Linked DNA regions of Caenorhabditis elegans. The protein of the gene in region 1 purifies or fractionates together with the protein of each later gene. This does not show direct contact. Each region holds a gene or a part of one and is shown on either strand. Other genes may lie near its edges. The genes, in order: rpia-1, F08F8.7 and fah-1.

Region 1 (3,481 bases):
ATTCGGTATCCGCCAATGCCCATTTTCAGAAAAAAGAAGTTGACAAATACCTGATGAAAGTATCTGAAATGAGCACAAGCTAGTTGAATTGAAACTACATTTGTCTTTAAGCAGAGACCGTGCCTATCTCTTAGTGCACAAAATCATACCTTATCGCTTGCCGATATTCCTCTTAGAACACTATTTTTTTCGTTGATCTCGAGGAAATCACTCAATTCAGATGTAATCATTTGGAAATTAAAATTTGAACAATCTGGAATGAATAGAATACGAATGATACGATTTGACGAAAGTGCTTTTTAATACAGCAATTGTTAAAAATTTTGAAATATTTACTTATTTCCCAACTTTATCAGTATTTTTGAAATTATTGCTCGCTCTTAATTTTACCGCCTCCAATGAGTCATTTAGGAAGCAAATTCTCATTTCTTTCAATCTTTAAGCTATCCTCGCCATTCATACACTTCAAGACTACTGTAATTTGAAATTAAACAGTTTCAGACACTTTACATCCAGACACTTTACATTTCAAAACGTTTTCAGAGTTTTCTAATTTTTTTTTCAGTTTTTTAAGAAAGACGTTTTTTCAACACAATTTTTATTGGGGCTATTCTAAGAACTACACGTATACTAGGAACATTGGGAATGAATGGGTACAATTTTCACAACAACTGGGAAGAGGAAAAGTGAAGTTTGGAGAGTGTGGTGGTGATAAGAAACAACTAATTTTCAATATGAACAAAATTCGATGCAAGTAGTCAGTGCTTCTTGGAATTGACAATTTCCTTGACAGATCCGTCAGAGTACGCGAAGAATACTGCGTCGACGCAACCGATGAATAATCCGGTTTCAACAATTCCTGGTGTATTGGCCAATCGTTGCTGAATCGCGAACCAATCTCTTCCGGATACGTTTTTCTCGAACTGCCAATCAATAATGAAGTTTCCATTGTCTGTCACAATTGGTCCGCACTTTTTGACAGCTTGTCGAAGTTGACAGCTTCCACCTTCAGCGCGTGGAATCGAACGTAGAAGTGGTTGAGCAGCAAGAGGTAGAACCTGCAATAAATCTCATTAAAAACAGTCAACATAACTACATCTATTTAGAAAAAACTATTGTTCTAAAGTTTATTCTTTAGTGCATCTTTCTTTACTGATAATTATAAAAAGTTAAATAATTTACCTCAATTGGGACATTCGGATAGCGATCACCCAAGTGTTTGGAATCTTTTAAATAATCAGCGATCACGTAAAAGTTTTTTGCAGCGGTTTGAACAATTTTTTCTTGAGCCAGACATCCACCTCCGCCTTTGATGCACGTGAACTGTCCGTCAACTTCATCAGCTCCATCAATACACACATCCAGTTCTGGATGTGAATCCAAATCGGAGACAGGGAGACCAGACTCAATCAGCCATTGTTTTGTCTGAAATACTTATTTATAACAATTGGGTTTGTTGAAAATCTGTTTACCAAAAAACTGGTTGGAACACAGATGATATCCTTGAGACTTCCATTCTGAAATCCTTGTTTAAGATATTCTACCAAATACTTGACAGTGCTTCCGGATCCAACACCAAGACGGCAACCACTTTGCACATATTTTTCACCGCAGGCAAACGCAGCCTGAAATGATTAATGAGGGTTGGAATTGGTCTTAATTTTTGACTTACTCGTTTCTTCGCCTGCTCAATAGGAGCCAGTTCTGCTTCAGGGCCGGTGGAGGTGACCATTCTGGCGGTTCGCAATACTCCTGATAATGGAAATTTTGTAGAAAACATACAAAAATGCTGAAAAGAAAACGAAAACAATAGTAAATTGATAAGAAAGACTGAAATTTTCAGCTGAAATACTGAAATTAATGAAATTCTGCATTGAGACGTGACGGTGTTTGCACTAAAACTACGATAACACACACTATTTGACGACAATTGCTTCTCATTTTTCTTTTTTCTTTTCCGAATTTTCTTTAATTTTCAGCTTATTGAATCTTTCATTAAGGTTATTTTGAACAATTTTCAGAGAAATGAGCAAACGGCCAGTGATTGAGTCTGAAAAGCCTGCGTGGCACGATGAGGACGACGATAATATGGTTGTGGCGGTTCCAAAAAAAGTGAAAATGACAATGCGAGTTGAACTCAAGCGAACCACAGACGAAGAACATGGAGAATTGGATTCAAAGGTAAATTTTTTTTAGAAATACGTTATTCAACGTGTAATAAAGATTATATAATTGAAAATAGGCAGAAGGATAAATTACTTCTGAAAAATAATTTTAATATTTTAGGAATACGTTGGTAGATTGCAAGAGGCGTTCAGAAAACGCCACGGAGGCACACCAAAATGGGCTAAGGCTGCTGCAGGTTTTTGGAAAATCAATAGTTCAAAAATCGTATTTTACAATTTTAGGAGACGAAGAAGAAGGGTCATTGTTGAAAACTGCTGCCGGATATTTGGCGAAAGACGTGAATTTACCAAAAACAACTATTCATACAACTCTTATAAAAGATTTCAACATCGGACACCGATACACTCGTGGAATCACTGTTGTTAAATTTCATAAAACCCGACCAGTGCTCATTGTTGCCGATCAAGGTGGAAATGTTCAACTTTTTAAAGTAAGTTGTGTTTTCTGTTTTAATTAAACCATTCCTTACTTATTTCAGGTAAGTCGTGAGGTTAAAAAGGATCGTTTCCTTCAAAGTGCGAATTTCTCAAAATTCCCGATTGATAGTCTGGAAATTGCTGATAAAGGACACTCTGTGATCTGTTCTTCAAGCCGAAAGGAATATTTGATGCAGTACAATATGGAAACAAGAGAAGTGACACAGTTGAAACCTCCAAACAGTACGTTTAATATTTAATAAAATTTGAAGCAAAACTTTGAACATTTTACAGCAGTACCAAAGCAAGGAATTCGGCTCTTTGCCATTTCGCATGACTCTCAATTTTTGGCAATTGCAGGACACAATTCTCACATCTATGTTCTCCATGCTACTGTATGTCAAAAAATTAAATTATTGGCAAATTAAAAGTTTAAATGTAAAATGTTTCAGTCGATGGAGCATATCACAACAATATCACTCCCAGCAAATGCGTCAGAAATCAAGTTTTTCCCATCGCACAGCCGTGAAATTTGGATCATCTGCGGTTGGTTTTATATTGCCAAAAATTCAAAAATTATTCGAAATTTCTAGAGACCGGCCAAATTGTGATCGCAAACATTGGATTGCCGGGAACCAAATCATCGCAACATACATTCACCGACGATGGAGCTGTGCACGGAACAACACTCGCCATCAGCCAACATGGAGATTACTTTGCGACTGGGTAAGCTTTTTTAAAATCAAACTTTTATAATTCGTAAAATCACGATACTGTCATTCATTCATATAATTCATATATTAATATAATTGTACAGTTTGCTACATCTTTTTTTTTGTTGATATTTTCAGTTTAGCAACAAAAATTTAAAAAAAAAA
Region 2 (3,756 bases), 220 kb from region 1:
AATGTCAGAAACTTGGGAAGCGTTGCGGAAGAAAGCCCGAAGCACAGAAAATTCCATCGATGTCAAGCTCGTCTCCCTGAATAAATTAACGGCTAGCTCTCATGGTAAGTATTACCAAGAATTTTACGATTTTATCCTCAGAAAATACGATACCGGGTCTTGACACGAAACATTTTCATAAAATACAAAAAAGTGTGCGCCTTTGAAGAGTACTGCACTTTCTGAATTGTGTTGATGCGGAAGTTTCAAAAAAAATATATGTATTTATTTGAAAAACCCAAATATTATATATTCTGAAAAAAAAACTTTAAAAAAGAAAAAGAAACTAATGAAAAAACCAAAAAGGGCATTTATAAAGAACATTTTCGTGTCGAGACCGGGTACAGTATTTTTGGCGTTTGAATAACCAACTTTCGAACATGTCTCTCAGAAAAATATTTAATAAACATGTTTCCTATTGAAAAAATATTTCAGGCGGTTTTGACATCGACGAGAAAACAGTTTCCTCAAGACAAACGAGCTTCAAAACAGTGACAACAGAAATCGAAGGATTGATAGAGCAATTGACAAATATCAATGATGATGTTAGTTTATTTTCAATTTTGTTTTTAAATTCGTCAACTTCAGATGAATGACGTAGCTGGTGCTCAATCCTCGGCATCTTGGGCTAATAATCCAGCCATTCAACACACACTTCGACGACATCGAGAAATTCTTCGAGATTACGGTAGTGAGTATCGACGTGCAAGAGATAATGTTGATCAGGTATTACAGAGGTATGAAAAATACTTTTTTTAAATTAAACAATACGATATTATTCAGAGAACTCTTGTTGAGCAGTTCAAATGAAAATCGTAATAATCCTATACTGAACAACAGGGCTCGTGGATATGATATGTATTTGAAGGTATTTTTGGGAAGAATTTCAAGAAAGTAGTACTAATTAATTTAATTTCAGGAGAATGACCATATAAACGCTTGTGATCGATTGTTAGATGAACAGTTAGAAATGGCAATGTCAACGAAAGAGAATATGGCCAGACAGGGAATTAATCTACGTGGAATATCAACTCGGCTTCATCATATTTCAAGTAATTTATCTTTAAAAGGGAAACAATTAAAGTAAATCTAAGTATTTATGAACATTTCTGATAAAAATGTTCCTGAAACACCCGATCTTTTTTGAAATCGTCAATCTAGATTAATTTAGACCTAATAAACTTGAGTTCAAATTTCTTGCAATACAGTTTTTTGACAAAAAATCTTTAAAAAAAAACAACAAAAAATTTATTTGAAATTTGGACCGAAAAACAAAAGTTAGAATTTCTCCAAAAAGCCGAAAAAATTTCAAAAAAAAATTCCTCCTTTCAACTGAGACTCAACATTTTTGAAAAACAGTTTTACAAGCTGCATAATAATTATCAAAACAACTTTTTTTAGAAAAATATCCTGCAATTAACAATTTGATGCAAAAAATCAAAACGAAAAAGCAGAAGAACACACTGATCCTTGCTGCCGTCATCTCATCGTGCCTTATTTTTACAATTTTCTGGATTATCAATTAATCAGTTTCAAATATCAAAAAAAAACTCAAAAACTTTTTCGAACTCCGATTTTCGTATTTTTCGAAGAAATTTAACAATCGGCAGTCGTAACTTTTTATCAAGTTTTCGAGTTGTTATTACTTTGTGTCAATGAAAAATAGAAACTGAATGATAAGAATAATCGATTTTTGTACTATTCCCTTGTCCCTTCATACAACGCACACCACTTTCATTGTGATATTCCTCACCGTTTTTCTAATTTTTACTTGTAAATAATTTTCTCGTTTTGTAATCTTTCGAGTATAATGGAGTTCTTGGCTTTTTCGTTTTTTTCTCGATGTGAAACAATTGGGTATACATATTTATGAATTAAAGTATTATTTAAAGATTTTTTTGAAAGTTTACAGTTGAAAGTTTAATTCTATAACTTTATTTGTTCATTGATTCTGGATGATAAAATTTATTTATCTAGAATTCAGATGACCCTCCGTCCATTTGTGTGTCCATCAATTCTGAATGCCGATCTTGCATCATTGGCTTCTGAATGCAAGAAACTTTTAGCAGCTGGAGCAGATTGGTAAGGTGATCTTTAGAAATTCTGAATAGTTTTGACAACTACTTTCATATTTAAATGTCCCTTTAGATTTCAAAAATCTAAATGGGAACGCACAAAAACCTCTTCTGAAATCAACATGGAAACGTACTCCACGGCCAATTGGAAACGCTCCGACCCCCCGAGATTACGGTCTCGTTAGGTATTTGGCCACAAAATCGCAAATTGAAATTGTTTTCATCTTCAAACACAAATTGGCAGGACTAATTGAAAACGCTTAAACTATCAATGTCAATACCTAATGAGACCCATGGTTCGAGGGGCGGAGCGTTTTCATTTAGCAGTAAGTAAGTAACGTTTCCACTTGGATTTTCAAAGGATTTACTTTCTGCGTTCCCATAGTATCCAGCTCCCAACTTGCAGGCTTCACCTCGACGTGATGGACGGTCACTTTGTACCAAACCTCACATTCGGTCACCCTGTCGTTGAATCTCTTCGTAAATCTCTTGGTGCTGAACCATTCTTCGATGTTCATTTGATGGTCTCTAATCCTGGACAGTGGGTTGAACCGATGGCAAAAGCTGGTGCCAGCCAGTTCACATTCCATTATGAGGCTGTAGATGGTGATGTGGCAGTCAGTGAATTGATCGAAAAAATCAGAAAAAGTGGAATGAAAGTGGGATTATCGGTCAAACCGGGAACTTCTGTTGAGCATATTTTGAAGTAAAATCAAAATTATATTTCAATCTAGATTTTAAATTAAAAAACTTTTTAGACATGCTAATCATTTGGATAATGCTCTTATCATGACTGTGGAACCAGGATTTGGAGGACAAAAGTTCATGGAAAACATGATGGAAAAGGTATTTATTTTGGTTTTTATTTGATACGAATAAAATTTATGGCTTTCAGGTTCGCACAATCCGTTCAAAATATCCAAATCTGACTATTCAAGTTGACGGAGGAGTAACACCTGAAAATATTGAAATCTCTGCTCAAGCTGGAGCCAATGCGATCGTGAGTGGAACTGGAATCATCAAAGCTGCAGATCAATCTGTCGCCATGACAACAATCAGAAATGCAGTTGAAGCTGCTATTTCGAAGTGCTGATTTTCTTAATTACTTGAATATTGTTTTGAATTTTGAAGCTCATTTTTTCAGAGCTTTTTGAGGTTGTGATGTTAATAGTTAGTAAATGATTGTCAATTAAAAAATTCAAAGCAGCATTTATTTATCTATAAAGTTCAGATGGGCTCTGCAGTTCCTAGCTTCGGGGTCGGAGCAGGTGTCTGAAAAAAGAGCATTACAAAACATCATGGACCATTCTTCAGTTGCTTACATTTTTAACACTTTCCTTCTCCTTGCTCGGAGTCTTCTTATCCTGATTTGATGGCAATACTCCAGTACTTCCAATTGTATCTTTACTCGGAGTCTTTCGTGGTTCGATATTTCCTGCCTCTTGGCTCATTGCAGTATTCAACGACGGCTCCTTGCTTCTTCCTCCAGCATTTGCAGTCTTTGTAGATTGCTTCGGAGTCAACATGATCTCACGAGACGGCTGCTTACGATTCGGAATTGGAGGAGGAGAACGTGGCAATGTCTTTTTCTGAAAAATTGGTTGTACTTTTGCTCAAGATCTTGGAGTACTACAAAAGCTAA
Region 3 (3,756 bases), on another chromosome or scaffold:
GCCAAATTGATGTCAAGGGTAAATGGGTCATCGTGATGGAGATATGCTGGTGGAACTGGATCTTGTACTGGATTCTCAACAAAGTATGGACGAAGAGCTTCAATTGAGACGACCCATGGAGAAACAGTTGTGGCAAAGGATTTAGCAAGGAATGGGCCGAGTGGAACGTATTCCCAAGCTTGGATATCGCGAGCTGGAAAAGTTTTTTTTCGGATGAGTATGGAGCAAACTTGAAAATAACTACTGTTGAATTTTCTTGTCACCAAAATGTCGAGTTTAAATGTTTTTGTTTGATATTTAATTAACATCGTTACTCACCACTCCAGTCGTTCATGAGCACAACTCCAAAGATACGATCCTCAGCCTTCTCGATTGGAACACGAGTTCCCAATTCATTTTCTGGACCTCCCACAAAGAACGCCATCTCGAGCTCAAAGTCCATAAGCTTTGATGGACCAAACGATGGAACCTCAGCTGAAAGCGGACACATTTGCATTATTGGTGCAAATCTAAATCTTACCATCTGGGGCCTTAGTTTGTCCAACTGGTCTTTTCAAGTCTGTTCCAGATACAACGATTGATGAAGCTCTTCCGTGGTATCCGACCGGAAGCCACTTCCAGTTTGGCATCAGAGCATTTTCCTTTCCACGGAACATGATTCCGACGTTGGTGGCGTGATGGATGGAGGAGTAGAAATCGGTGTAATCTCCGATTTGAGCTGGAAGGTGCATTGTAGCATCGGATTGAGCGACAAGAGCCCGGCTTCTGTAAATAAAAACATAAGAATATTATTACAAAGTTTCTTGGTTGTTTTAAACAGAGTTATATGTAAGTTGTGCGCAAAACGTACAAAGCTTCTAATTACAGTATGAGATTTCAATTTATAAATCAAAAATTAATATAAAAATGTAGGTTTTTCTCGATTTTGAAATAGATTTTTTTAAAAATAATGCCTACAAGTCGCCAACAAAGTTTAACGATATATTTAAAGTCAAATGAAGTATTTCAAAAACTTTGACGGGTTTCCAGGCGTTCTCAATAAAATAATTTTTTTCAGATTGACCGAACATTTTCACATACTTCTATATACATTTCAACTTGCCAACTTGCTGCACAGTATTGATTCAACTTTGCAATTATAAACTAACGATAAAAATTAAAACTTGTGAAATAGTTGTTTAGATTTGGTTAGTAGATTATCAGACACACTTTGTACTACTTTTTAACTTTTTCAAATTTGTTTTGCCAACTTATTCACCTCAAATGAGCGTTATCCCTAAGAACAGCACAATCCTCTGAGAGCAGTTGTTGGATTCTTGCACGAGCTTCCAACCAGGCTGGACGTGGCAGTGCCATGAACGCGTTCAATGTGCTCTGCTTGAAAACATCCTGATGTGCCTTCAATTGAGGTCCGTCAAAAAGATTGGCAATTTCTGCCAAGTTGAGGATTTGATCTCCAATTGCAACTCCAATGTGGCGGGAAGACTGAAAATATTTAGTTTAATTTTGCTTTAGAAATAATTATTTATACACTTACGTCAGCCTTTGTTGAGAAAACACCATACGGTAAGTTTTGAATTGGGAAATCCGAGTTTTGAGGAACAGAAACGAAGGATTTCATGATTTAGCCTGCAAAGCAATACAAGTTTTGAAAAATGGAGTTGAGTAGACAGCAGTCTGTTATGTCTCCGAAACTGTACACGCATGCGGCGTTGAAACAGAAAATAGCATACAGGTTGGAGAGGGTGCTAGTGACAAATACAAAAAGGAGTCGTACACGCATAGGCCAAGGTCGATACACGACTAAACGACCACCAATAAAAACAAAACGATAACCAAAAAAAATGACTGCACACAGACAGTGACAATGACAGATGTGCACCACTGAAACCGCTATATAAGGTCTCACAAATCTAATTGAAAAGATAAGATGATGATAGTGACGTCAATTGGATAAAACAATAGAGTATATCAGATAAGTTTTGACAAGAGAGAGAAAACTACATTGGATGCAAATTGAATTGCGAAACAGTCACGTGATGATTTTTTCTTGAATGTTTGGATGGCATTATTCTATAGTTGTTTGTTTGCATTGGCAATGATACTGTTTCATGAATAAAAAGCAAGTAGGAGTATGACGATTTTAAAGAGTGGAGAACTAGTGTTTTTTAGAGTTGCTTATGTTTATAATATAGAAATCTCAATTCCATGAAGATAAATTGCTACTAAAACGCTTTTTATATCAGAAGAAAAACGGTCTCTAGCAATTTGTATCTTAGAAAACTCTTACCACCATTTCGAGTAGAGAAAACGTTTCACAATCGGATGTAGGTTTTTAACCTGTAGATTTCAGATCACCACAGCCTGCTGAGCAGGTCAAAAGTTGTAACTTAAAGGTGAGTTGTATTGTTAAATATTATCGGTAATTGATAAACAGGTACGGCGAGTGAAATGGTCAAAAAAATATAAAAATAATTTATTTCTATAATAAAGGGTTGTAATACACAAGAAACATTTTTTAAGGTTAAACATTTTGAAAATACAAACACCAACAGCGATGAACTATTGAATTAACACTTTCTCTACTGTCGTTGAGTATAAGTGTTAGTTTCAAACTTTTTATATCTTGTTGGATTTTGCTTTTACGAAATCAAATTGAATTAAAAACTTTCAAAAAATTAATTTATTGAAGCCAGTAGTGGACAGAAAAAGCAGGAAATACAGACAAAAAAAAAACACCAAATAAGTTTATTGCAATGGTTTGAATGCATAACAGGTGACATCTTCCTTAAATGCTTGGCAGAATGTATCGGTATGAGCTATGTAACTGAATTCTCCTGTACCACAAATAACGTTCACCTCATGGCCTAGTGTTTCTTCGGCAATTTTCTGAATGTTCCTCTTTGATTCACTTGCATCTTCGCTAATATTCTGAAAAGAGAGTAGGCTTGACGTGCAAAACGAGTGTACTCACATCAAGGATAATGTTTTTCAGTTCGGAACTGTTACACGAAGGGTCGATTGTTTTGGCTGCAAATGCGGCGCGTCTCACACTTTTGTACTTGCATGGCGATGAGCAGCCACAGCAACAATCGTTCTGAAATGATATTTTCTTAAAGGTTCTTTCAAAAATCTACCAACCTGAGCTGGAATTCTGACTGATGGTACAACTGCACCACCTCCACATCCTCCAGCTGTTGGCATTGGCTGAGGCATCATTGGCTGATAGTACTGGGGAACATATGATGGGTAGAACGATGGTCGTTGCATCATACACGGGCAAGATGGTCTCGGCATTGGTGGAGGTGGTGGAGGGCATGGCATTGGCGGTGGTGGAGGCGGAGGACAAATTGGTGGTGGTGGACAGAATCTGTGAACAAGCATGTGAATATTCTAGGTTTATTGCTGAAACTTACTGAGCCGGGCATGGTGGAGGTGGAGGACAGACTGGCATTGGCATCGGCATTGGCATCGGTGCAGCACATGGCATTCTTGGTTGGCACATTGGAGTCGGGCATCCTCCACACCCTCCTCTACCAAATGGGTACTGAGCAAAGGCAAAATGAAATGAAATCTGAAAATCCGAATGAGTAAAAGAGATATTCGATGATTCATTGCTTACCAAGAAAACTGCAACCGACAAAGTACTCATATTGCGCAAATATGGAATGGAAGTGGAAGAAGCTATGGTTTCCGACCACACACGCGGATATTTATACTACTTCGCACGTGCAACTGGTTTTTTGGGGGAAATTC

What was found.
Region 2: the proteins of rpia-1 (region 1) and F08F8.7 fractionate together in Caenorhabditis elegans (co-fractionation; one large-scale study listed by BioGRID). This does not show direct contact.
Region 3: the proteins of rpia-1 (region 1) and fah-1 fractionate together in Caenorhabditis elegans (co-fractionation; one large-scale study listed by BioGRID). This does not show direct contact.

Annotation. Positions count from the first base shown.
Region 1 is NC_003281.10:7,121,436-7,124,916, reverse strand, and holds rpia-1 (Probable-ribose 5-phosphate isomerase), read right to left. Parts: upstream 1,790-3,481; 5' UTR 1,733-1,789; coding exon 1,673-1,732; intron 1,626-1,672; coding exon 1,473-1,625; intron 1,426-1,472; coding exon 1,183-1,425; intron 1,059-1,182; coding exon 759-1,058; 3' UTR 582-758; downstream 1-581. Other genes in the region: B0280.2 (uncharacterized protein), read right to left, coding at 1-63, 150-230; B0280.9 (U3 small nucleolar RNA-associated protein 18 homolog), read left to right, coding at 2,026-2,181, 2,287-2,362, 2,409-2,617, 2,666-2,846, 2,898-2,998, 3,056-3,149, 3,197-3,329.
Region 2 is NC_003281.10:7,345,410-7,349,165, reverse strand, and holds F08F8.7 (Ribulose-phosphate 3-epimerase), read left to right. Parts: upstream 1-2,016; 5' UTR 2,017-2,023; coding exon 2,024-2,121; intron 2,122-2,520; coding exon 2,521-2,820; intron 2,821-2,872; coding exon 2,873-2,960; intron 2,961-3,009; coding exon 3,010-3,207; 3' UTR 3,208-3,311; downstream 3,312-3,756. Other genes in the region: gos-28 (Golgi SNAP receptor complex member 1), read left to right, coding at 2-104, 475-584, 628-776, 823-907, 959-1,091, 1,441-1,565; F08F8.6 (uncharacterized protein), read right to left, coding at 3,342-3,386, 3,437-3,703.
Region 3 is NC_003284.9:6,447,288-6,451,043, forward strand, and holds the start of fah-1 (Fumarylacetoacetase), read right to left. Parts: upstream 1,630-3,756; 5' UTR 1,622-1,629; coding exon 1,538-1,621; intron 1,486-1,537; coding exon 1,259-1,485; intron 766-1,258; coding exon 521-765; intron 475-520; coding exon 319-474; intron 194-318; coding exon 1-193. Other genes in the region: grl-6 (Ground-like domain-containing protein), read right to left, coding at 2,749-2,931, 2,975-3,097, 3,142-3,370, 3,417-3,574, 3,623-3,652. UniProt on the Caenorhabditis elegans protein: Fumarylacetoacetase involved in the tyrosine degradation pathway.